Oryctolagus cuniculus: one gene and its partners. The protein of the gene in region 3 purifies or fractionates together with the protein of the main gene of each other region. This does not show direct contact. Links are inferred from orthologs where the notes say so. Each region holds a gene or a part of one and is shown on either strand. Other genes may lie near its edges. The genes, in order: MAP1S, SAV1, RASSF1 and MAP1B.

What was found.
Region 1: the proteins of RASSF1 (region 3) and MAP1S purify together in Homo sapiens (affinity purification with mass spectrometry; 4 studies listed by BioGRID and IntAct, counting the BioPlex papers as one, with this or other methods). This does not show direct contact. The link is inferred for Oryctolagus cuniculus from reciprocal best matches to the Homo sapiens genes RASSF1 and MAP1S.
Region 2: the proteins of RASSF1 (region 3) and SAV1 purify together in Homo sapiens (affinity purification with western blotting; 3 studies listed by BioGRID, with this or other methods). This does not show direct contact. The link is inferred for Oryctolagus cuniculus from reciprocal best matches to the Homo sapiens genes RASSF1 and SAV1.
Region 4: the proteins of RASSF1 (region 3) and MAP1B purify together in Homo sapiens (affinity purification with mass spectrometry; 3 studies listed by BioGRID and IntAct, counting the BioPlex papers as one, with this or other methods). This does not show direct contact. The link is inferred for Oryctolagus cuniculus from reciprocal best matches to the Homo sapiens genes RASSF1 and MAP1B.

Annotation. Positions count from the first base shown.
Region 1 is NC_091447.1:65,422,148-65,426,861, forward strand, and holds the end of MAP1S (microtubule-associated protein 1S), read left to right. Parts: coding exon 1-1,060; intron 1,061-2,909; coding exon 2,910-3,145; intron 3,146-3,374; coding exon 3,375-3,530; 3' UTR 3,531-3,585; downstream 3,586-4,714. UniProt on the Homo sapiens protein: Microtubule-associated protein that mediates aggregation of mitochondria resulting in cell death and genomic destruction (MAGD). Plays a role in anchoring the microtubule organizing center to the centrosomes. Binds to DNA. Plays a role in apoptosis.
Region 2 is NC_091443.1:25,507,534-25,512,982, forward strand, and holds part of SAV1 (protein salvador homolog 1), read left to right. Parts: intron 1-1,655; coding exon 1,656-2,099; intron 2,100-5,449. UniProt on the Homo sapiens protein: Regulator of STK3/MST2 and STK4/MST1 in the Hippo signaling pathway which plays a pivotal role in organ size control and tumor suppression by restricting proliferation and promoting apoptosis.
Region 3 is NC_091441.1:98,983,858-98,989,306, forward strand, and holds part of RASSF1 (ras association domain-containing protein 1), read left to right. Parts: intron 1-1,114; exon of another isoform or gene 1,115-1,132; coding exon of another isoform or gene 1,133-1,318; intron 1,319-2,199; coding exon 2,200-2,304; intron 2,305-2,445; coding exon 2,446-2,743; intron 2,744-4,183; coding exon 4,184-4,299; intron 4,300-4,743; coding exon 4,744-4,890; 3' UTR 4,891-5,449. UniProt on the Homo sapiens protein: Potential tumor suppressor. Required for death receptor-dependent apoptosis. Mediates activation of STK3/MST2 and STK4/MST1 during Fas-induced apoptosis by preventing their dephosphorylation.
Region 4 is NC_091445.1:38,781,506-38,786,954, reverse strand, and holds part of MAP1B (microtubule-associated protein 1B), read left to right. Parts: intron 1-2,978; coding exon 2,979-5,449. UniProt on the Homo sapiens protein: Facilitates tyrosination of alpha-tubulin in neuronal microtubules. Phosphorylated MAP1B is required for proper microtubule dynamics and plays a role in the cytoskeletal changes that accompany neuronal differentiation and neurite extension.

The DNA of each region.
Region 1 (4,714 bases), on a different chromosome or scaffold from region 3:
AGCGCCCGCGGTGGAGGCGGCGGAGAGGCCACCAGCCCCCCGCCCGCGCCGGCCTGCCCCTCCCCGGCCCCGCCGCCGTCGGCCGCCCCCAGCCGGGAGAGCAGCAGCCTGGAGCTGGAGCTGAGCGCGGCCCCCGAGGAGAGGCCGCTGGAGCTGCCCTTGAGCGCGGGCTCCCCGCGGCCGCGCACGCCCTCGCCCTCCGAGACCCACGCAAGCCCCGCCGAGGGCAGCGCGCGGCTGTCGCTGAGCCCGCTGCGGCCCGGGGAGGCGGGGCCCGACGCCTCGCCCACCGTGACCACGCCCACGCTGACCACGCCCTCGCTGCCCGCCGAGGTGGGCTCCCCGCACTCCACGGAGGTGGACGAGTCGCTGTCCGTGTCCTTCGAGCAGGCGCTGCCGCCACCCAGCGCGCCGGGCGAGGCGGGGCTGAGCCTCCCGCTGCGCGGGCCCCGCGCGCGCCGCTCGGCCTCCCCGCACGACGTGGACCTGTGCCTCGTGTCGCCCTGCGAGTTCGAGCACCGCAAGGCCGTGCCGCTGGCGCCCTCCCCGGGCAGCTCCAACGACAGCAGCGCGCGCTCCCAGGAGCGGGCGGGCGCGCCCGGGGCCGAGGAGACGCCGCCGACGTCGGTCAGCGAGTCCCTGCCCACGCTGTCCGACTCGGACCCCCTGCCCGCCGCCCCCGGCGCCGCCGACTCGGACGAGGACACGGAGGGCCTGGGGGCGGGCCCTCGCCGCGACCCTCTGCCCGAGCCGCTCAAGGTGCCGCTGCCGCTGCCCAACCCGCCCAGCCTCTGCATGGTGGACCCCGAGACGCTGCCGCCCAGGTCGGCCCGGCCGCCGGAGGACGCGGCCCGCGCACGCAAAGCCCCGGCCCGGCCCGCCTCCCGCACCGCCGCGCCCAAGGCCGCACCCGCGACCGGCGCCAAGAGCAAGGGGCTGGCGGCCGGGGACCGCGCCGGGCGGCCGCTCAGCGCCCGCAGCGAGCCCAGCGACAAGGGGGGCCGGGCACCCCTGGCCAGGAAGTCCTCGGCCCCCAAGACGGCCACCCGCGCCCCGTCCGGTGAGTACCTCCGTTCCCGCGGCCCCACGTCCGCGGAGTCGGTCCTCTCGCGGCGTTAGCCCCAGAAAGCGGCTGTATACTTCGTGCGTGCAGGCGGCTGCCGTGGGTGCCAGGCCATCTGTGCGTGGGTGAGAGGCAGAGTCCCGGGGGTGGGGGCCCCGGCCCGGTCCGGTCTTCTGTGTTCCGGGTCTCGTCCCAAGCGGTCCCCGTGCGAGTGGCAGGCGCTTGAAACCTCGCCCCGCGAGCTCCCAGAGGCTCGGGTGCCCGGTGGCTGGGCCGGGCTGGACCGGACCGGCGCCCCACGCGGCGGCTACACCCACCGCCCTGGGCTTGGTCCTCCCGTGGCTGCCGGCGCCCCCTTCTCTGTAAGGCGGGTGCCGCCCCAGGGGGCGGGGCCGCAGCAGGTGTCACTCAGCGTCGGGGCTGCGTGCTCCCGCCCGCGCTGGGCAGGGTCTGCGGGCGCCCCGCGTCTTGCTAGGCCTCGTCGTTCTGTGGTTTGTTTGTGTAGTTAAACGGCGGCCCTGACGCACGGGGGGGGGGGGGGGGGGGCAGCTCACTAAGGTGTTGATTGACTTCCGGCATCTTCTCCCGCGCTGGCTTTTCTTTGCAAGGCATAGAGAGGTTCGGTACCCAAACAGGAGCTGGGATTGGACCAGGCAGGAGCCAGGAGCTCCATCCGGGTCTCCCGCGCAGGTGCAGGGACCCAAGCACTCGGGCCATCTTCTACTGCTTTCCCAGGACTGAGCAGGGAGCGGCCCGGAAGTGGAGCTGCCGAGACTCGAGCCGGCGCCCACGTGGGATGCCGGCGCCAGCCCCGGCCCCGTACTGGTCGCTTCCTCGTCCCGCAGCCAGGGTCAGGGCGCGCTGCGTCGGTCACCCGGGATGCGGGTGTTCGGGGGTGTCTCCTCCGCTCAGCGTGTTTGTGCCTGGGGGTGTTTGTTCACCACCCCACCCCCCCAGCTGGCTCCGGCCCGGCCATGCGTGGCTCAGGAGCCTGGGCAGTGAATCCCCGTTTTGCCCCCGAGCCGCTGGCGAGTCCAGGCTCCGGTCACCAGGGCCACCCCGGGTTGGCCGAGTCTGTGTGTCGCTGTGGGCTCACGTGCAGGCCCTGCTTGCTTGCCCCAACCTTTATCGCTCTTTTTGCATTTTTTTAAGAATTTATTTGCAATGCAGAGAGGGAGAGAGAGGTCTTCCATCCGCTGGGTCACTCCCCAAATGGCCAGAACAGCCAGAGCTGTGCCAGGCTGGAGCCAGGAGCCAGGAGTTTCTTCCCGGTCTCCCACGTGCAGGGGCCCAAGCACTTGGGCCATCTTCCACTGGTTTCCCAGGCCACAGCAGAGAGCTGGACCGGAAGTGGAGCGGCTGGGACTTGAACCCGCGCCCCTGTGGGATGCCACACGGCAGGCGGCTGCTTCACCCGCTGAGCCCCGGCACCGGCCCCTCCTTTGGCCTCTTCAGCCTCAGGGCGGGGGCTGCAGCCTGGGGTCGGGAGTTCAGGGCCTTGTCCGTGGGTGGAGAGGCGGCACCTCCTAGGGTCTTCCCCTGTGACTGCCAAGGCCACGGCTCCACATCAGCATGGGGGGGGCTGGGCTGCTCCCTGGTCCGTATGACCCCCGGGCCTGGCGCGCCCCCCCGAGTGGACGCCACACAGCAGTGTCCACTTCCGGGAGGCAGCCTCCCCCAGGTAGCCCTTCCTGATTGACTTCTCGCTCTCGCTGACCCTGTGGCTGACCCCCGAGGCGCAGCTCCTGGCATTGCAGACTGACTAAAGGATTGTGGTCTGCGAGCCCGCTGAGGGCCTGGAGCCCCGGGCGCCCTCGCTCACCGCCGACCCGCTTCCTGCCCTCAGGCCCCGCCGGCAGCCGGCCCGGAGGCTCAGCCGCCGCGCCCGGCTCCCCCGTCTACCTGGATCTGGCCTACCTGCCCAGCGGGAGCGGCGCGCGCCTGGTGGACGAGGAGTTCTTCCGGCGCGTGCGCGCACTCTGCTACGTCATCAGCGGCCAGGACCAGCGCAGGGAGGAGGGGATGCGCGCCGTGCTGGACGCGCTGCTGGCCGGCAAGGAGCGGTGGGACCGCGAGCTGCAGGTGCGCACCGCCTCGCCCTGGGCCCCCTGGCTCCTGGCCACGCCCTCGTGGGGCGGGAACAGGCGGCTTCCGGGCGGAGGGGACCCCTGAGGGTCGGGCTCCTTCCATCCCGCCTCTGCTTGGCCTCTGCACGCTCACAGGGGCCAGTCAAGCGCGGACTTCTCGTTCCCGGCGGGGGGCGGGGCCTGGAGGGAGGGGGCGCCCCTGACCGTGTACTGCCCCCCCGCAGGTGACCCTGATCCCCACCTTCGACTCGGCGGCCATGCACCGCTGGTACGAGGACACGCACGGCCGGCACCAGGCGCTGGGCGTCACGGTGCTGGGCAGCAACAGCATGGTGTCCATGCAGGACGAGGCCTTCCCCGCCTGCAAGGTCGAGTTCTAGCCCCGCCCCCGCCCCGCAGCCCCGCCCCCGGAAATAAAGCCCCTGCGCACCCCCACCCCGGCCTGGACGCTTCTTCCGGCGGGACCCCAGGCCTCGGCGGCCTCCTCCCCGGGCCTTGCAACAGCAGAGGGGCCGCCGGCGCCCCCTGGCGGTGACCAAACCCTGCTTGAGACGAGGGTTCGAGAGGGCGTTGGGAGGGGGCGGCCCAGCTGGGTTCCGGGCCGGGAGAGGCTCCACTGGAGACGGGAGACGGAGACGCAGGGCAGGGCCGGGTCCTCTCCCGAAGGCGCAGGGCAGGGGTCAGCCGGGCGTGGACCAGTGCGAGCAGCCAGAGGTGGGGGGAGCGGGTCTGGGGGGGGTTACGGCCACGGGGCAGGTGCACCCCAGGGGAACCACCCAGCGTTGTGGGGGCGCAGCGGGCTCAGTGCCTCCCCAGACTCCCACATCCGGGACTGGAGCGGCCGGGTTTGAGTCCCGGCCGCTCCACGTCCCACCCGGCTCCCCCACGTGCGAACCCTGGGAGGGGAGGGTCCCGCCGGGTCCCGTCCCCCCATGTGGGGGGCCTGGATGGAGCGCCTGGCCCAGCCCTGGCTGTTGTGGCGTTGAGGGATGCAAGACCCGCCTCCCAAACCAATAAATCTTGGGAAGTTTGCTGCGCTACGGTGCTGGGCCCTGGCCCGGGGCCCCATCTGTGGCTGCCCCGTCTGTCTGGTCTCCGCCCCTCCGTCAGAAGCCTCGGGACCGCCCCCCCACCCCCCCAGGCCGGAGCAGGTCCCCCCTAGCAGCCATCAAGGCCAGGCCCCGCCCTCGCGGATTTCACTTCCCGGTTCCTGGTGCGCCTGCGCCAGATCCCCTCATCAAAATCCGAGCTGGGGGGCCGGGCCGTGTGGCGCAGTGGTCAAGGCCCTGCTGGGCAGCCTCGGTCAGGTCGGGAGGAGTCCGGGCCCCACTCCCTGCTGAGGGCCTGGAAGGTGGCAGTGCCGGCCCAGGGGACTCCTGGCTGCTGGCCCCGCCTGGCCCAGCCCTGGCTGTTGCAAGCTCCCTCTCCGATAATGTATTAAAAATTGGAGACACGGTCAGCGGTAGACTTGTCCGAACGCCTTCCAGCCCGGTCCGCACGGCTCCGCGCGGGGTCTGGATCCCGTGGGCTCCGCCCTCGGCCCCAGCGCCCTCTCCCGGCTCTA
Region 2 (5,449 bases), on a different chromosome or scaffold from region 3:
TAAATGATAGCTTGCTATTTGCTGTAAATAAGGCTTATGAACATTATTTGGAATCATAAAATAGGTTTGTCACACCTTTGAGCAATTTGATACAGTATCTTTAGTATTAAGTATTGAGGCTTATTTATTCAGATATTAATGTGATAGCTACTGAAGATTATTAATGAGTGCCCTCAAATATTGTTTACAAGGAATAAAATGGTCTCCGTATCCAGTTGTCATCATGCTTTAAAGACATTAGCTTTTCCACCAGGAATGTCTATGCTCTTTTCTCATTCTGTATTCAAAAAGACCGTATGCTAAAAAGCTATTCTTCTGTTATCTTCTGTTTTGAGTTATAATTACTTATTTTTAAAGGAATCCTAGTTTCAAGCTTGCTGTGTTTTAACTGGCACATTTATGTGCCTCTTTGAAATGCACTCCTTTTATGTTTAATTTTCATACATAAGATTTTGATTCTCTAAAATTTTGGTTACTTTAAAAATTTTTTTATTTTCATTTTATTTGAAAGGTAGACAGATTTTCCATCTGCTAGTTCAGTCCCCAAATGCCAGCAACAGCCAGGGCTGGACCAGGCCAAATCCATGAGTCTGGATCGTAATCCCTGTCTCCCTTAGGGTGGCAGGGACCCAGGTACTTGAGGCATCATCTGCGGCTTTCCGGGGTATGCATTAGCAGGATGTTGGACTCTTAAGTGGAGCCAGGATTTGAGCCCAGAAGCTCCACTAGGGAATGTGGCATGCCAAGTGGTGATTTACCACGGCTCCAGATACCCATCCCTGATTACTTTGGATCACTTAATGAGTGCTAGATAATTTCAAAAGTAGGAAGTTACTAATTTAAAACTTTTTAATGAAATCCACATTTACATGTTTGGGAGTAGCACTATATTGTCAGTTTTATCTTTGAAATAGTGTTTGCTTAAAAAGGATTTTTTTTTTAGGTTTATTTATTTATTTGAAATGCAGAATTAGGAGAGACAGAGATCTTCCATCTGCTGATTCACTCCCCAGATAGCTACAATGGCTAGAACTGGGCCAGGCTGAAGCTAGGAGTCTGAAACTCCTTCCAGGTCTCCCTTGTGGGTGCCAGTGGCCCAAGCACTTGGACCATCTTCTGCTGCTTTCCCAGGCACATGAGCAGGGAGCGGTATTGGAATTGGAGTAGCTAGGATTTGTGCTCATATGAGATGGTGTTGTCCAAGGCTGTGGCTTAACCTGCTGTGTTGCAACACCATCCGTGAAGAAGGCTTTTTGATAATTTCTAAATAGAAGTACAGACAAAACCATGATCATAAGTAAATTATGCTGGTAACTACATATGGATTTGTTAGGTTATTTTCTACTCTTATACATTGATCCATGAGTACTTCATTGATACATAGTTCATAAATAAGCTTATTGATATTTCTTCATCATATAGTATACAGAATATACTTGATTGTGGCTAAGCTTACACAGAACACATTCAGGCAAATTATAAATTCATTTGAGTAGGAAAATACTAATCTTTCTCAATTTAAAATGCCCAAGTACTAACTTAAACTTTAAAGTTGTTTTTTTTTAAGTATCTTGTGATTTTTTGGGTGGTTCACATAACATTTGAAAAGTTCATTGCTTACTGAAATGATAATTGTACTCTTTGTTTTATTATAGATCTGATGCCATCATTCATCCGGCATGGTCCAACAATTCCAAGACGAACTGATATCTGTCTTCCAGATTCAAACCCTACTGCTTTTTCAACTTCTGGAGATGGAGTAGTTTCAAGAAACCAGAGTTTCCTTAGAACTCCAATTCAAAGAACACCTCATGAAATAATGAGAAGAGAAAGCAACAGGTTATCTGCACCTTCTTATCTTGCCAGGAGTCTAGCAGATGTACCTCGGGAATATGGCTCTTCTCAGTCATTTCTCACAGAAATTAATTTTGCTGTTGAAAATGGAGACTCTGGTTCCCGATACTATTATTCAGATAATTTTTTTGATGGCCAGAGAAGGCGGCCACATGGAGATCGTGCACATGAAGACTACAGATACTATGAATACAATCATGATCTCTTCCAAAGAATGCCGCAGAGTCAGGGGAGGCATGCTTCAGGTAACCTGATGTTATAAATGGTCCATTACGATTATATTGACACTTTGATTAAAAGATGTTTCTTTATGAATTTTCCCGTGAAGCTGACAAAGGCTCCCAGGGAAATTCCATTTTCCATTTTGCCATTGTTGCTTAAGCCTGCCTGCAAAATAGTTATGCTTCTACACTGAATGAATTCTTGTGTCCATTTATTTTACTAACTCATGTTTTATAAACCTGGTACTTACCTCAGAGTCATCTGGATTAATATGGGCCTTGAAAACCTGGAGAATTTAATGTCTTTGGTTGGACTGAATTTAGATTTAGGTTTTATAGAATGGGAGGGTTAGACTTTTTTTTTTTTTTTTTTTTTTTGACAGGCACAGTGGACAGTGAGAGAGAGAGACAGAGAGAAAGGTCTTCCTTTGCCGTTGGTTCACCCTCTAATGGCCGGTGCGCTGTGGCCGGCGGATCGCGCTGATCCGATGGCAGGAGCCAGGTACTTATCCTGGTCTCCCATGGGGTGCAGGGCCCAAGTACTTGGGCCATCCTCCACTGCACTCCCGGGCCACAGCAGAGAGCTGGCCTTGAAGAGGAGCGACCGGGACAGAATCCGGCGCCCCGACTGGGACTAGAACCCGGTGTACCGGCGCCTCAAGGCGGAGGATTACCCTAGTGAGCCACGGCGCCGGCCCAGGGAGAGTTAGATCTTAGAAATTGGTCTGAAACCCGGGAGAGGGAAACAGGATATGAAAAAGTGGGCATGTTAGGTGATAAGCATGGTCAACTATATAACTTAGTGCAGTCTTGTACTGTTTCTCTGAACGTAACACTATCATTCAATAAGTATTTCCTAAGTTGGTCAAAAAAACTTACTGTCAAGTGGCAAACTGTGTGTTGAACATGTCTTCTTGTCATTCTTGTTGTAACAGTCAGAAATATTAGTGATTAATTAAGGAAAAAAAAGTCCATTTTCTTAATCTCCTGGCTTGGAGATACTTCTACAAGAAGAGACTGGAGAAATGTGCAATTCTGTTTTAGTCTTAAAAAGTACTGGATTACGCTGTATAAATTGAAGCAAATTGAAAGTTTTTGTGATTGATTTTTTCCTACCTAGTGAGTCTTACATTTGGCATAAAGGAAGAAATATGCGAACCAGATTAGCTTTTTAGCCCACATGACTTCAAACAAGCTGACTTAAACATTTTGGAGCGTGAGTGTTTTGACTTGGAAAAGTATTATTCATTAAGTGTTAATCATTTGTGCTTAGCATTTTCTTTGACCCTCTTAGTCTCTGTCTTGTGCTTTATTTGGGGAAATAAAACCTATATATACACAATAGTGACAGAACAATGAATTCTTACACTTTGTTATTGACTGGCCATATGATAGGGAGTCAGAAGAGAAACCATTGTGGACTGGAATAATTAAAAGAATAATTGATGGAAAAGATAGAACCTGCGCGAGTCTTTGAGCTTGGATTTTGGATTAACTGTGGCAGAATAATATTTAAAGACTGAAGTTGGGGGGCCAGTGCTGTGGCACAGTGGGTTAAGCTGCTGCTTATAGCACCGACATTGCATATGGGCACCATTTCGAGTCCTGGCTCTTCGATTTCCAATCCATCTCCCCGCAAATGTGCCTGGCCTGATGCTTGAGCCCCTGCACCCATGTGAGATAACCCAGATAAAGCGTCTGGCTTTGGCCTGGCCCAGCCCTGGCCATTGAGGCCATCTGGGGAATGAACCAGTGGACGAAAGATTCTCTCTCTCTCTCTCTCTGTGCCTCTGCCTCTAGTTCTCTGTAACTCTGCCTTTCAAGTAAATAAATAAATCCTTAAAAAAAAGTTTGAAGTTGGGAATAACCCAGTGAAAACAGAGTGGGCATGTTTTAAATTCAAAGGACTTCATAGTTGTGCCTGATTTGAAGATAAAAGCTGTAATGGGAAATGGAGATTCCTAATCCAACAGGCTTAGCGTTGAGTCCAGAAGAAGCATTGTGCATTTCAAAAAAGAAAACACAGTGATTTGATGAAAATAGTGTTTAAAGGTGAGTTTTTGTAGTAGGATTCAGGACAGAGTCTCAGAGAAACGACAATTGTAGGGGAAGTGAAAATGGACAGAGAAAGGCAGAACTATGGTGCTTTTGAAAGAGAAATGGGAATGTAATAGGAAATGAGCTTGGGAGAAAATAGATTATTAAAGTCTTGAATATTTTTTATTTATTTATTTATTTATTTTGACAGGCAGAGTGGACAGTGAGAGAGAGACAGACAGAGAGAAAGGTCTTCCTTTACCGTTGGTTCACCTTCTAGTGGCCGCTGCGGCCAGCATGCCGCGGCCGGTGCACCGCGCTGATCCGAAGCCAGGAGCCAGGTGCTTCCTCCTGGTCTCCCATGGGGTGCAGGGCCCAAGCACTTGGGCCATCCTCCACTGCCTTCCCGGGCCACAGCAGAGAGCTGGCCTGGAAGAGGGGCAACCAGGACAGAATCCGGTGCCCTGACTGGGACTAGAACTCGGGGTGCCGGCGCCGCAGGCGGAGGAGTCAAAGTAATTTTTAAAAAAGATTTTATTTGAGAAGCAGAGTTACAGGGGGGGGGGGGGGGGCGCTCTTCCATCCGCTGGTTCACTCTCCAAATGGCAGCAACAGCTGGAGCTAGGCTGATCTTAAACCAGGAGTGAAGAACTTATTCCAGGTCTCCCATGTGGATTCAGGGGCCCAAGTAGTTGGGCCATCTTCCACTGCTTTCCAGGCCATAGCAGAGAGCTGGATCATAAGAGCAACAGGGACATGAAATGGCACACATATGGAATGCATGTACCACAGGCTGGAGGCTTAGCCTACTTTACCACAGTGCCAGTGCCAAAAAGTAAATTTTTAAAAGCAAATCTGGGGGTTTGTGTTGTGGTGCAGTGGTTTAAGCTGCCATCTACAACACTGGCATCCCATATGGGTGCTGCTCCACTTCCGATCCAGCCCCCTGCTAATGCGCCTGGGAAGGCAGGGGAAGATGCACCCAATATTGGGAGACTCCGATGTGATACGAGGCTCCTGGTTTCGGTCTGGCCCAGCCCAGACAGTTGTGCCATTTAGGGAATGAATAGTAGATGGATGGAAGATCTCTCTGTTTCACCCCCCCCCTCTCTGTAATTCTGCCTTTCAAATAAATAAAAATAAAAAAATAAAGCCGATTTATATTTTCCTTTAGAGTAATAACTTCTTATAGGGAGTTTGCAAAATGTGAAAAGTAAAAGTAACCATCTACCAGAAAGTCTAAGTGTATTAATTATTTCTTTTATCTTTTTCTGTGCTAGATTTCTTTTTTTTTTGTATTTATTTTTTTGTATTTGTAATTGTATTTGTAATTGTAA
Region 3 (5,449 bases):
CCCTGGCTGTCCCTGTGCTTAAGTGAGCACACAGTCATTCTAGAAGAGACCTGATGGCAGTTCCCATGGGACACGGCATTGGTCTGTGGTGATCTCAGCTGTGTGTGACACTCCCGTTCCGACTGGGACGAGTGTGACGTCAACAGGAAGGAAAGCTGAAGCAGCGGAGCGAGGGAGTTGGGTAGGAGAGAGTTGGTGCTCCACCCTTCTGATGGGAGTCCCGTCCCTGCAGGGGAGGAGGGCAGTGCGTAGTGCGGCTGCGTTCTTTGGGCTAAGCTTCAGACAACAGGGGAGGCACAGAACCCACCTGCTTGGCATTTGTGGGGCAGGCTCTCTTCAGACACTGGCCTGTGTATCGGGCAGCGCGGAGCCTGGCCTGCCGCAGCCTTCGTGCAGCACTGTGAGATGCGAGCTCTGGCCCCAGCTCCCCGCAGCGGTGTTGATGGCGAGATGACGCTAACTGTCCTGCCAGCTGGTGGTGGAGCCGCTGAACTGTACCAGTTCCCTCACATCCTGTGTCACAGTGGGTCCTGGCCCTTGGCTGGGGCAAAGTGGAAAAAAGGGCTGCCATCTCCAAAAACATCCTGACGCCAAGCCAGCCAGAGTCCTGGGGTAGGCCATGCAGTTGAGGCAGGCGTCCCTCCTCGGAATCCTCCGTCGTCTTGGCCTCTGGCCTCAGCTGCCCCTGATTCTGTGGTTTCCCTGGAGCTCTGTTGCGTGCTGGAGAGCAGCCGCATGATTCCGCCTTTGCTGGCTTCACTCACAGTGTCCAGAATCAGGAGCAGTGACCACTGTAGCACAGCGGGTTAAAACCCCAGCCCGCAGTGCCCGCATCCCATATGGGCGCTGGTTTAAATCCCAGCTGCTCCCCTTCCGATCCAGCTCTGTGCTGCGGCCTGGGAAAGCAGTAGAAGATGGCCCAAGTGCTTGGGCCCCTGCACTGTGTGGCAGACCTGCAAGAAGCTCCTGGTTCCTGGCTTTGGAGCGGCACAGCTCTGGCCATTTCGGCTATCTGGGGAGTGAACTGGTTGGATGGAAGACCTTTCTGTCTGTCTCTACCTCTCTAACTCTGCCTATGAAATAAAATCTTTAAAAGTTTTTTTTTTTTTAACAGTGACGAGTGGCCGGCGCCATGGCAGTGCCGGCACACCGGGTTCTAGTCCCGGTCAGGGTGCCGGATTCTGTCCCGGTTGCCCCTCTTCCAGGCCTGCTCTCTGCCGTGGCCAGGGAGTGCAGTGGAGGACGGCCCAAGTGCTTGGGCCCTGCACCCCATGGGAAACCAGGAGAAGCACCTGGCTCCTGCCTTCGGATCAGCGTGGTGAGCCGGCTGCGGCAGCCACTGGAGGGTGAACCAACTGTCCACTCTGCCTGTCAAAAAAAAACAGTGACAAGTTCAGGATTTAAAGTGGAGCAGCCAGGACTCAAACCTGCACCCATATGGATGCTGGTGCTGCAGGTGGAGGCTTAACCTACTTTGCCACTGCGCCAGCCAGGATGGCTGATTCTGGGCATCTGTGTACATCAGGAAGTCAATTTCCAAGAGCATTTTTCAGAGAAGCCATGTATTCAAGGGTCCTGTGTCCATGGTGCTCATCTTTTTGACTTTTTTTTTTTTTTTTGTAGGAGTGATTTATTTGAAAGTCAGAGAAGGAGAGGCACAGAGAGCGAGCTCTTCCGTCCGCTGGTTCATTCCCCAGCTGGCCACAGTAGCTGGAGCCGCGCCAGTCCGGAGCCGGGAGCCTCTTATGGGTCTCCCCACATGGGTACAGGGGCCCAAGGACCTGGGCCATCTTCACCGCCTTCCCAGGCCATAGCAGAGAGCTGGATTGGAAGTGGGGCAGCCGAGACTCGAACTGGCACCCATATGGGATGCCGGCACTGCAGGTGGCAGCTTTACCCACTACGCCGCAGCACCAGCCCGTTTGACTTTTATTTAAGAAACAGAGATCCCTCATCTGTTGATTTCACTCCCCACTCTATGGACCAGGCTGAAGTCAGGAGACAAGAACTCAAAGCAGGTCTCCCACATGGGTGTCAGGGAGCCAAGTATTTGAGCCATCACTTGCGGCCTCCCAGAGTCTGCATTAGCAAGAATCTGAAATCGGGAACAGAGCCTGGATTTGCATCCAGGCACTCGGGTGGGGGCAGTTGGCATGTTAGCCCCTAGACCAAACACCTGCCCCTGGCCTGTTTGTTTAGGACGAGCACGTGGAGTGGGAGAAGCCTGATCTTTCTCAGGCTGAGGTTGAGCAGAAGATCAAGGAGTACAACGGCCAGATCAACAGCAACCTCTTCATGAGCCTGGTGAGTGCAGTGCTCTGGCGGGGGTCTGCGGAGGGGCAGCCGTGGTAGGCTCAGACAGCCACTTTGGCAACACCCAGCCTAGCCCTAGGGTGTTCCGTGTCTCCCGGCAGCTAGGTCATGGTTGAGTTTGTTTCTCTCTAGAACAAGGATGGCTCCTACACCGGCTTCATCAAGGTCCAGCTGAAACTGGCCCGGCCCGTGTCCGTGCCCTCCAGCAAGAAGCCCCCGTCCTTGCAGGATGCTCGCCGGGGCCCAGCACGGGGCACAGCCGTGAAGCGCCACACCTCCTTCTACCTGCCCAAGGACGCCGTCAAGCACCTACACGTGCTGTCTCACACCCGGGCCCGGGAGGTCATCGAGGCCCTGCTCCGCAAGTTCCTGGTGGTGGACGACCCCCGCAAGTTCGCCCTCTTTGAGCGAGCCGAGCGTCATGGCCAAGGTGTGTTTCCCCCCGACACACACCCCGTGAGGATGCTTCAGGAGGTCTGTGGAAAAGGGAATTAGAAGCTTGGCTTATGTTGGTACACAAGAGATTTGAAGTCCAGGTATAGTTTAGAAAAAGCGAATTTATCGAGGCATTAGTGATTAGAAACAGTGGAAAACGAATCCCTCTAGGCTTAAAAGAGGGCTTTTTTTTTTTTTTTTTTACAGAGTGGATGATAGAAAGGTCTTCCTTTGCTGTTGGTTCACCCTCCAATGGCCGCTGCGGCTGGCGCACCACACTGATCCGATGACAGGAGCCAGGTGCTTCTCCTGGTCTCCCATGCGGGTGCAGGGCCCAAGCACTTGGGTCATCCTCCATTGCACTCCCTGGCCAGAGCAGAGAGCAGGCCTGGAAGAGGGGCAACTGGGACAGAATCCGGCACCCTGACCGGGACTAGAACCCGGTGTGCCGGCGCCGCAGGCGGAGGATTAGCCTAGTGAGCTGTGGCGCCGGCCCTAAAAGAGGGCTTCTTGAGGCACCACTCTATGTATTTTTTTTTTAAAATTGATTATTTGAGAGGCAGAGTGAAGAGTTCACACCCCAGTTGGCCAGCTGTTGTGGCCAATCTGAAGCCAGGAACTTCTTCCAGGTCTCCCACATGGGTGCCGGGGCCCAAGGACTTGGGCCATCTTCCACTGCTTTCCCAGGCCACAGCAGAGAGCTGGAGTGGAAGGGAGCAGCTGGGACTTGAACTGGTGCCCATATGGGATGCCAGCACTGCAGGCAGCAGCTTTACCTGCTACGCCACAGCACCGGCCCCCACATTGTGTATTTTCAAAAGGTAACTCAGGGCTGGCGCAGTGGGTTAACGCCCTGGCCTGCTCCGCTTCTGATCCAGCTCTCTGCTATGGCCTGGGAAAGCAGCAGAAGGTGGCCCAAGTCCTCAGGCCCCTGCATCCGTGTGGGAGACCTGGAAGCAGCTCATGGCTTCGGTTTGGCATAGCTCCGGCTGTTGCGGCCATCTGGGGAGTAAGCCAGCGGCTGGAAGACTTTGTTGTAAAAAAACAAAAAACAAACAAACAAACAAAAACCACTTTTTTTATTTGATTTGATTTAAAGATTTATTGGAAAGTTACACAAAGAGGAGGAGAGGCAGAGAGAGTCTTCATCCACTGGTTCACTCCCCAGTTGGCCAGATCTGTGCCGAACCGAAGCCGGGAGTTTCTCTTCTGCTTTCCCAGGCCACAGCAGAGAGCTGGATTGGAAGTGGAGCAGCTGGACTTGAACCGGCACCCATGTGGGATGCCCCAGCACCAGTCCCAATGAAGCAGTCTTTTCATGAGCTTTTTAAAGACCTCTAGGCTGTGCCTGCCCCTGTGCCTGCCCCTGTGCCTGCGGGAGTGGAGGCAGCAGGACCTCTGATCTCACACCTCTTTCCCCCGGCCTGGGCTGCAGTCTACTTCCGGAAGCTGGCGGATGACGAACAGCCCCTGCAGCTTCGGCTCCTGGCAGGACCGAATGAGAAGGACTTGAGCTTCATCCTGAAGGAAAATGACTCCGGGGAGGTGAACGTGAGTACCCAGTCCTGCTCAGTTTCCTGCTTTTAATGAACAGAGACAAGCCCTGTACAGCCTCCCCAGGGCAACGAAAGGAAGGGCTTCCAGGCCTGTCAGGCCAAGGTCTAGGGCAAGCCCAAGGAGCCAGGAAGAGCTGTCCTGGTGCTGTGGAAAACCCGATGGAGCTAGGAAGCCCCCACCCCCCACCCATCCCTCAGGCGTTACGACTGCTTGCCTGGAGTCTTTATGGCTCCCAGGTTTGGGGCCCATGGAGAAAAGCCTGCTTGGGTGCCGGTTTGGTCAGGTCTGGCTTCTGTTTGACAGCTGGTGGGCTTCTCGTGCAGGCTGTTTGGGCACGAGACTCCTGGGGGAACACCTGATGCCAGCAGGTGCGGCCCGGGGTCCGGGTCCTCCCTGGGGCGGCTGCAGCTGCTGGAGCCTGTGCTCTGCCCTCTGCAGTGGGACGCCTTCAGCATGCCCGAGCTGCACAACTTCCTGCGCATCCTGCAGCGCGAGGAGGAGGAGCACCTCCGCCGGATCCTGCAGAAGTACTCCCGCTGCCGGCAGAAGATCCAGGAGGCCCTGCACGCCTGCCCCGTGGGGTGACCGTGACCCCTGGATGGCAGGAGAGTAGGCAGCGCCCAGCGTGTGCTGTGTGAGTGTGACCGGGCCCCTGGGGCCTGAGGCGTGAGTGCGGGGGGAGGCCCTGCCCTGGGGAGAAGGAGCCGAGCCGACAGCCGAGGGGCTGGCCCCGTGTCCAGCAGCGGGTTTAGCGGGGCCTGGCTTTGCAGCCCTCAGCCCGTCCTGTACTGGGTTGGAGGGAGCCAGGGCTGCCCTAGGCTTGTAGCAGGGGCGGAACAGACAGAAGTTGCCTTAATTTGAGTCTCAAAGATGAGACTTTTGGGGACCTTGCAGACCACACAAGGTCATGTTTGCAGGGGTGAGGGCCTTCATCTATGGGGGCTCAGAAAAAGCAGGTATCCAGGAAGAGTCCACGGTTCCTTCTGGGGGGCCTTCCGACTCCTCCCACACCTGAGGTCAGGGAGTGCTGGCGCCCAGTGCTGTGACAGTGCCTCGGTGCCTCCGCGCGGGAGGCTGGCCCTGGAGCAGGGTCTGCGTGAATGTGGGCACGGGGCCAGGACCGTACCTGTGTGCAGGTCAAAGC
Region 4 (5,449 bases), on a different chromosome or scaffold from region 3:
TAGAAACTCTTTGGGTAGAGGTAAAATAATGGACCGCAGGGAGATGCTCCTGTGTCCCGTTGCCTGCTCTTTGAACCTTGTGACTTCACACCTCACAGAAAAAAGCTAGTGACGGGGGCAGGTGTTTGATGCAGTGGATGAAGCCGCCACTTCTGATGGCTGCATCTGCATCGGAGTGCCTGGGATGGAGTCCTGCCTCCACTTCCGGTACAGTTTCCTGCTAATGTTAACCCTGGGAGGCAGCAGGTGATGGCTAAAGTGCTTGGATCCTGCCACACACAAGAGACCAGGATGGAATTCTGGGCCTCTGGCTTGGTCCAGCCCTGGCTGTAATGGGCAGCCATTACATTAATGGGCTGTAATGACTAAAGCGGTGGGTAGAAGAGCTGCCTTTCTCTCCCTCTCTTTCCCACTCTCATCTTTCTAAATAAATAATCTTTCTTAAAAAAAGAACTAGGGATTGAACACCCCTACTCAGCCGGATTCTATCCTTGACACTCCCTCACCCCTACCCTATCCCAATACCTCTCAGCTAGGGTAGAATTTCAAAAGTTAGAATGAACTAAATGTAATTTTTAAAAAATCCACTCTAAGGGGCAGGCAGTGGTTAAGATGTCACTTAGAACGCCCACATCCCACATCAAAGTGCCTGGGTTCCAACCCCTGCTCCCCTCCGGACTCCAGCTTCCTGCTACTGTGCCCTCCTGGGAGGCAGCAGTAATGGCTCAAGTGCTTGGTCCCTGCCACCCATGTGGGAGACCTGTATTGAGTTCTCAGTTCCAGGCTTTGGCCCAGCCCTGGCTGCTGTGGACATCTGGGTTGTGAACTGGTGCATGGGAGCTCTCTTTTTCTTCGCCTCTGAAAAATAAATGAAATAAATAAAACTTATCCATGAAAGACTCAGCAGTTTGAGTTTTCTTGGATTTGCCCCTAAGCATGTATTGGAAACCATGAAGAATCTGCCGGTGTTCTGTGTGACGATCAGGACCGGCAGAAGGCCAGTCGTGTGGCAGCAGTGATGATGAGGGTCTCTGCCAAATATCAGACATGAAAGCGCATTTGGTGCTCATGTTTTCTTCGGCCAACAAATAATTTGAGCAAAGATCCTCCCCAGTGGTGGTTACCATTTGCTTTCTCGGTTTTCTCAGCTTCCAGAACAGGGCTTTGGTCCCATCCCTTTTATGTGGGAGCATTCGAAGTGAAGTCAGAGGAAAGCAGCAATGTTTCGTTATTGTGCCGTTTTGTGACTCTTCACTTAAAACGCGATGCTAGAATTAATAGGCTTATGACAAGATTGAGTGCAGCCTAGTAGAGGAAAATTCAGATTGTGTGAATTATCCTTATCTCTCTCACACACGCATGCACACACACACGGCCTCTGAATGTTAATATTCTAATAGTGACACAGAGGTGATCCCTCTGATCCTGGCAGGTGAGAGTCCCGAGCTGTCAGGTAGCGATGGCTGCACCAAGGAAAACCTTTTGCCTTGCCCCTTCCTCACTGCCTGTCCAGCACGCAGGGCACTTCTTGGGTGACCTCCTGGGCTGCATTATGAACTCTGCTGAAACAGAAAGAAGGCCTGAATTTACAGCATGACTTTCCCTCACAATTTGCTAAACTAAGACCATCTGGCCTTAACATGGAGCAAGAAAGAAAAGAGTGCTTTCGTTAAACCATAATCACCGTTTTGGTCCCCATTTGCTTTTCCACATTCCCATCCTCGGGAAGTACTAAACAATGCATTAAAAAGCATCGGAACCAAATGTGAGCTTAGCCACTCAAACCCTGCTCCGTTGGAAAAGAATGGGAGGGCGCAGGGAAGGTGCCGCCTGGGACACCTGCATCCCATCTCAGAGTCCCTGGGTTTGAGTCCTGGCTCCACTCCAGATTCCAGCTTCCTCCAATGTGCACACTGGGAGGCAGCAGCAATGGCTCAAATAGTTGGATCTCTGCCACCCACATGGGAGACCAGGACTAAATTCTCAGCTCCTGGCTTTGATCTGGCCCATCCTTGGCTGTCTGGCCATTTGGGAATGAACCAGCAGATGGGAGATCTCTGTCTGTTTGCCTTTCAAATTTTTTTTAAGTTTTCAAAAAGGAAAGAATGAGAGCAGAAAGCCAGCAGAGTGTCTCTCGTTGGATTTAAGCACAAACAGGGGCAGGCATTTGGGATACCCACTTCCCATACTGGAATACTAATAAGCATTTGCTCATGTTTATTTATTGTCAAGTGTTCATTTATTTTTATTTGATAAGCAAAGCAACAGAGACGGAGCAAATGGGGATCGTATCTGGTCATTGGCTTGTACAATTTACTCAATCAGTTTAATCATCAGGGCTTCGGTAAAAGCATTTGTATTCACGGAGAATCTGCTGGGTGAACCACTCATGTTTTAAATATTGGGCATTGGTGCCAGAAACCAATCATTTTCTGTAGTCCTGGGCAATCAATACCTTCCTGTGTCCCACGGGGGGAGACCTCACCAGACATTTTTCTTTTTGTATCTGTCAAATTCTAAAAGGAGACAAGAAGTGCACTATTACCGGCACTTCTTTAACGTGTCCATCACACGTCTACCACTTGCCAAGCCGAGGGGATTAAAAGAAATGACCTTGCAGTATCAGTGAGGAAATGACTCACGTAGCTTTCTCCCGTGATGGTTCAGTATTTTTTAAAGAGCACCTGTGCATGACAAGTGCATCAGGGAGCATGCAAAGTAGTACATGCACGGATAGTCCATGCAGCTGGTGGCCTCAGAACTGGAGCCAGGTTCTGGGGTGCAGGGGATGCTCGGGCCAGGGGCCATGCACCGTCTTGCATGCAGGTGTTTTAGGATGTATACAACAAGCATCACTACACGGCTACAGCTCTGTGCAGCCAGGCATCCTGTGTCACCCTCTGGAGGCAGAGATGATGGAACAGTGATGACAGTCAGTCACCCAAACCCCCCCCCTTCTTCTTTTTGTTCAATTCCAGATTGGAGAGTTACTGAGCACTACCCATCCTGCCAACAAAGCCAGCTTAACCCTGTTCTGCCCCGAAGAAGGGGATTGGAAGAACTCCAACCTGGACAGACACAATCTGCAAGACTTCATCAACATTAAACTCAACTCAGCGTCTATATTGCCAGAAATGGAAGGACTCTCTGAGTTCACCGAGTACCTCTCGGAGTCAGTGGAAGTCCTGTCCCCTTTTGACATCCTGGAACCTCCCACATCCGGGGGCTTTCTGAAGCTCTCCAAGCCCTGCTGTTACATCTTCCCCGGAGGCAGGGGCGACTCCGCCCTGTTCGCGGTGAACGGATTCAACATGCTCATCAACGGCGGCTCGGAGAGGAAGTCCTGCTTCTGGAAACTCATCCGCCACCTGGACCGCGTGGACTCCATCCTGCTCACCCACATCGGGGATGACAACTTGCCCGGCATAAACAGCATGCTGCAGCGGAAAATCGCCGAGCTGGAAGAGGAGCAGTCGCAGGGCTCCACCACCAACAGCGACTGGATGAAAAACCTCATCTCCCCTGACTTGGGCGTCGTCTTTCTCAACGTCCCTGAAAACCTGAAGACTCCCGAGCCCAACATGAAGATGAAGAGGAGCCTGGAGGAAGCGTGCTTCACCCTCCAGTACCTGAACAAGTTGTCCATGAAGCCAGAACCTCTCTTTAGAAGTGTAGGCAATACCATCGATCCTGTCATTCTTTTCCAAAAGATGGGGGTGGGGAAACTAGAGATGTATGTGCTTAACCCAGTCAAGAGCAGCAAGGAAATGCAGTATTTCATGCAGCAGTGGACTGGCACCAACAAAGACAAGGCGGAACTGATCCTGCCCAATGGTCAGGAAGTAGATATCCCGATCCCCTACTTAACTTCAGTCTCCTCGCTGATCGTGTGGCATCCAGCAAACCCGGCCGAGAAAATCATCCGCGTCCTCTTTCCTGGAAACAGCACCCAATACAACATCCTGGAAGGGCTGGAAAAACTCAAACATTTGGACTTCCTGAAGCAGCCGCTGGCCACCCAGAAGGATCTGACTGGCCAGGTGCCGGCTCCCGCCGTGAAACAAGTGAAACTCAAACAGAGGGCTGACAGCAGAGAAAATCTGAAGCCAGCTGCAAAACCAGCTCCCAGCAAAACCGTGCGAAAGGAGTCGAAAGAGGAAGCCCCGGAGGTCCCCAAAGCGAACCAGGTAGAAAAGCCGCCCAAAGTGGAAAGCAAAGAAAAGGTGACCGTGAAAAAAGACAAGCCGGTCAAAACGGAGCCCAAACCAGCGGCCGTGGACAAGGAGGCGCCCAGCAAAGAGGAGCAGCCTCCCGTCAAAGCCGAGGTGGCGGACAAGCAAGCCGCCGACGTCAAGCCCAAGGTCTCCAAGGAGAAGACCGTGAAAAAGGAGGTAAAGGCGAAACCCGACGAGAAGAAAGACGAGAAGGAAAAGCCGAAGAAGGAAGTGGCGAAGAAGGAGGACAAGACGCCCGTCAAAAAGGAGGAGAAACCGAAAAAGGAGGAGGTGAAGAAGGAAGTCAAGAAGGAAATCAAGAAGGAGGAGAAGAAGGAGCCCAAGAAGGAGGTGAAGAAAGAAACGCCCCTGAAGGAAGCCAAGAAGGAGGTGAAGAAGGAAGAGAAGAAGGAGGTGAAAAAGGAAGACAAAGAACCTAAAAAGGAAATTAAGAAGCTCCCCAAAGACACGAAGAAACCAGCCACTCCTCTCTCGGAAGCGAAAAAACCTGCTGCGTTGAAGCCCAAAGTCCCCAAGAAGGAGGAACCGGTCAAGAAAGACGCGGCGGCTGCCGGGAAGCCCAAGGAGAAGGCCAAAGTCAAAGTTATCAAGAAGGAGGGCAAGACGGCCGAGGCCGCCGTGGCCGTGGGCGCCGCCGCTGTGGGCGCCGCCGTGGCCGCCGTGGCCGCCGCCGGCCCCCTGAGGGAGCTCGAGGCCGAGCGGTCCCTCATGTCGTCCCCCGAGGATCTCACCAAGGACTTCGAGGAGCTGAAGGCTGAAGAGGTGGATGTGGCGAAGGCCCTGAAGCCTCAGCTGGAGCTGATCGACGAGGACGCGAAGCGGAAGGAGAGCGAGGCCGGGGAGGCCTACGCCCTTCAGAAGCACACGGAGGTCATCCAAGGCCCCGCCGAGTCCCCCGACGAGGGCATCACGACCACCGAAGGGGAGGGCGAGTGCGAGCAGACCCCCGAGGAGCTGGAGCCGGCCGAGAAGCCAGGCGTGGAGGACACTGAGAGGTTCGAGGACGAAGGAGCGGGCTTTGAGGAGTCCTCCGAGGCCGGCGACTACGAAGAGAAGGCAGAAACCGAGGAGGCGGAGGAGCCGGAAGAGGACGCCGAGGAGAGCGCGGCTGTGAGCGCCCCCAAGCCCGGCCTGGCTGAGGACGAGGAGGTGGCCAAGGCCGAGGCGGATGTGCACATCAGGGAGAAGAGGGAGTCTGTGGCCAGCGGGGACGA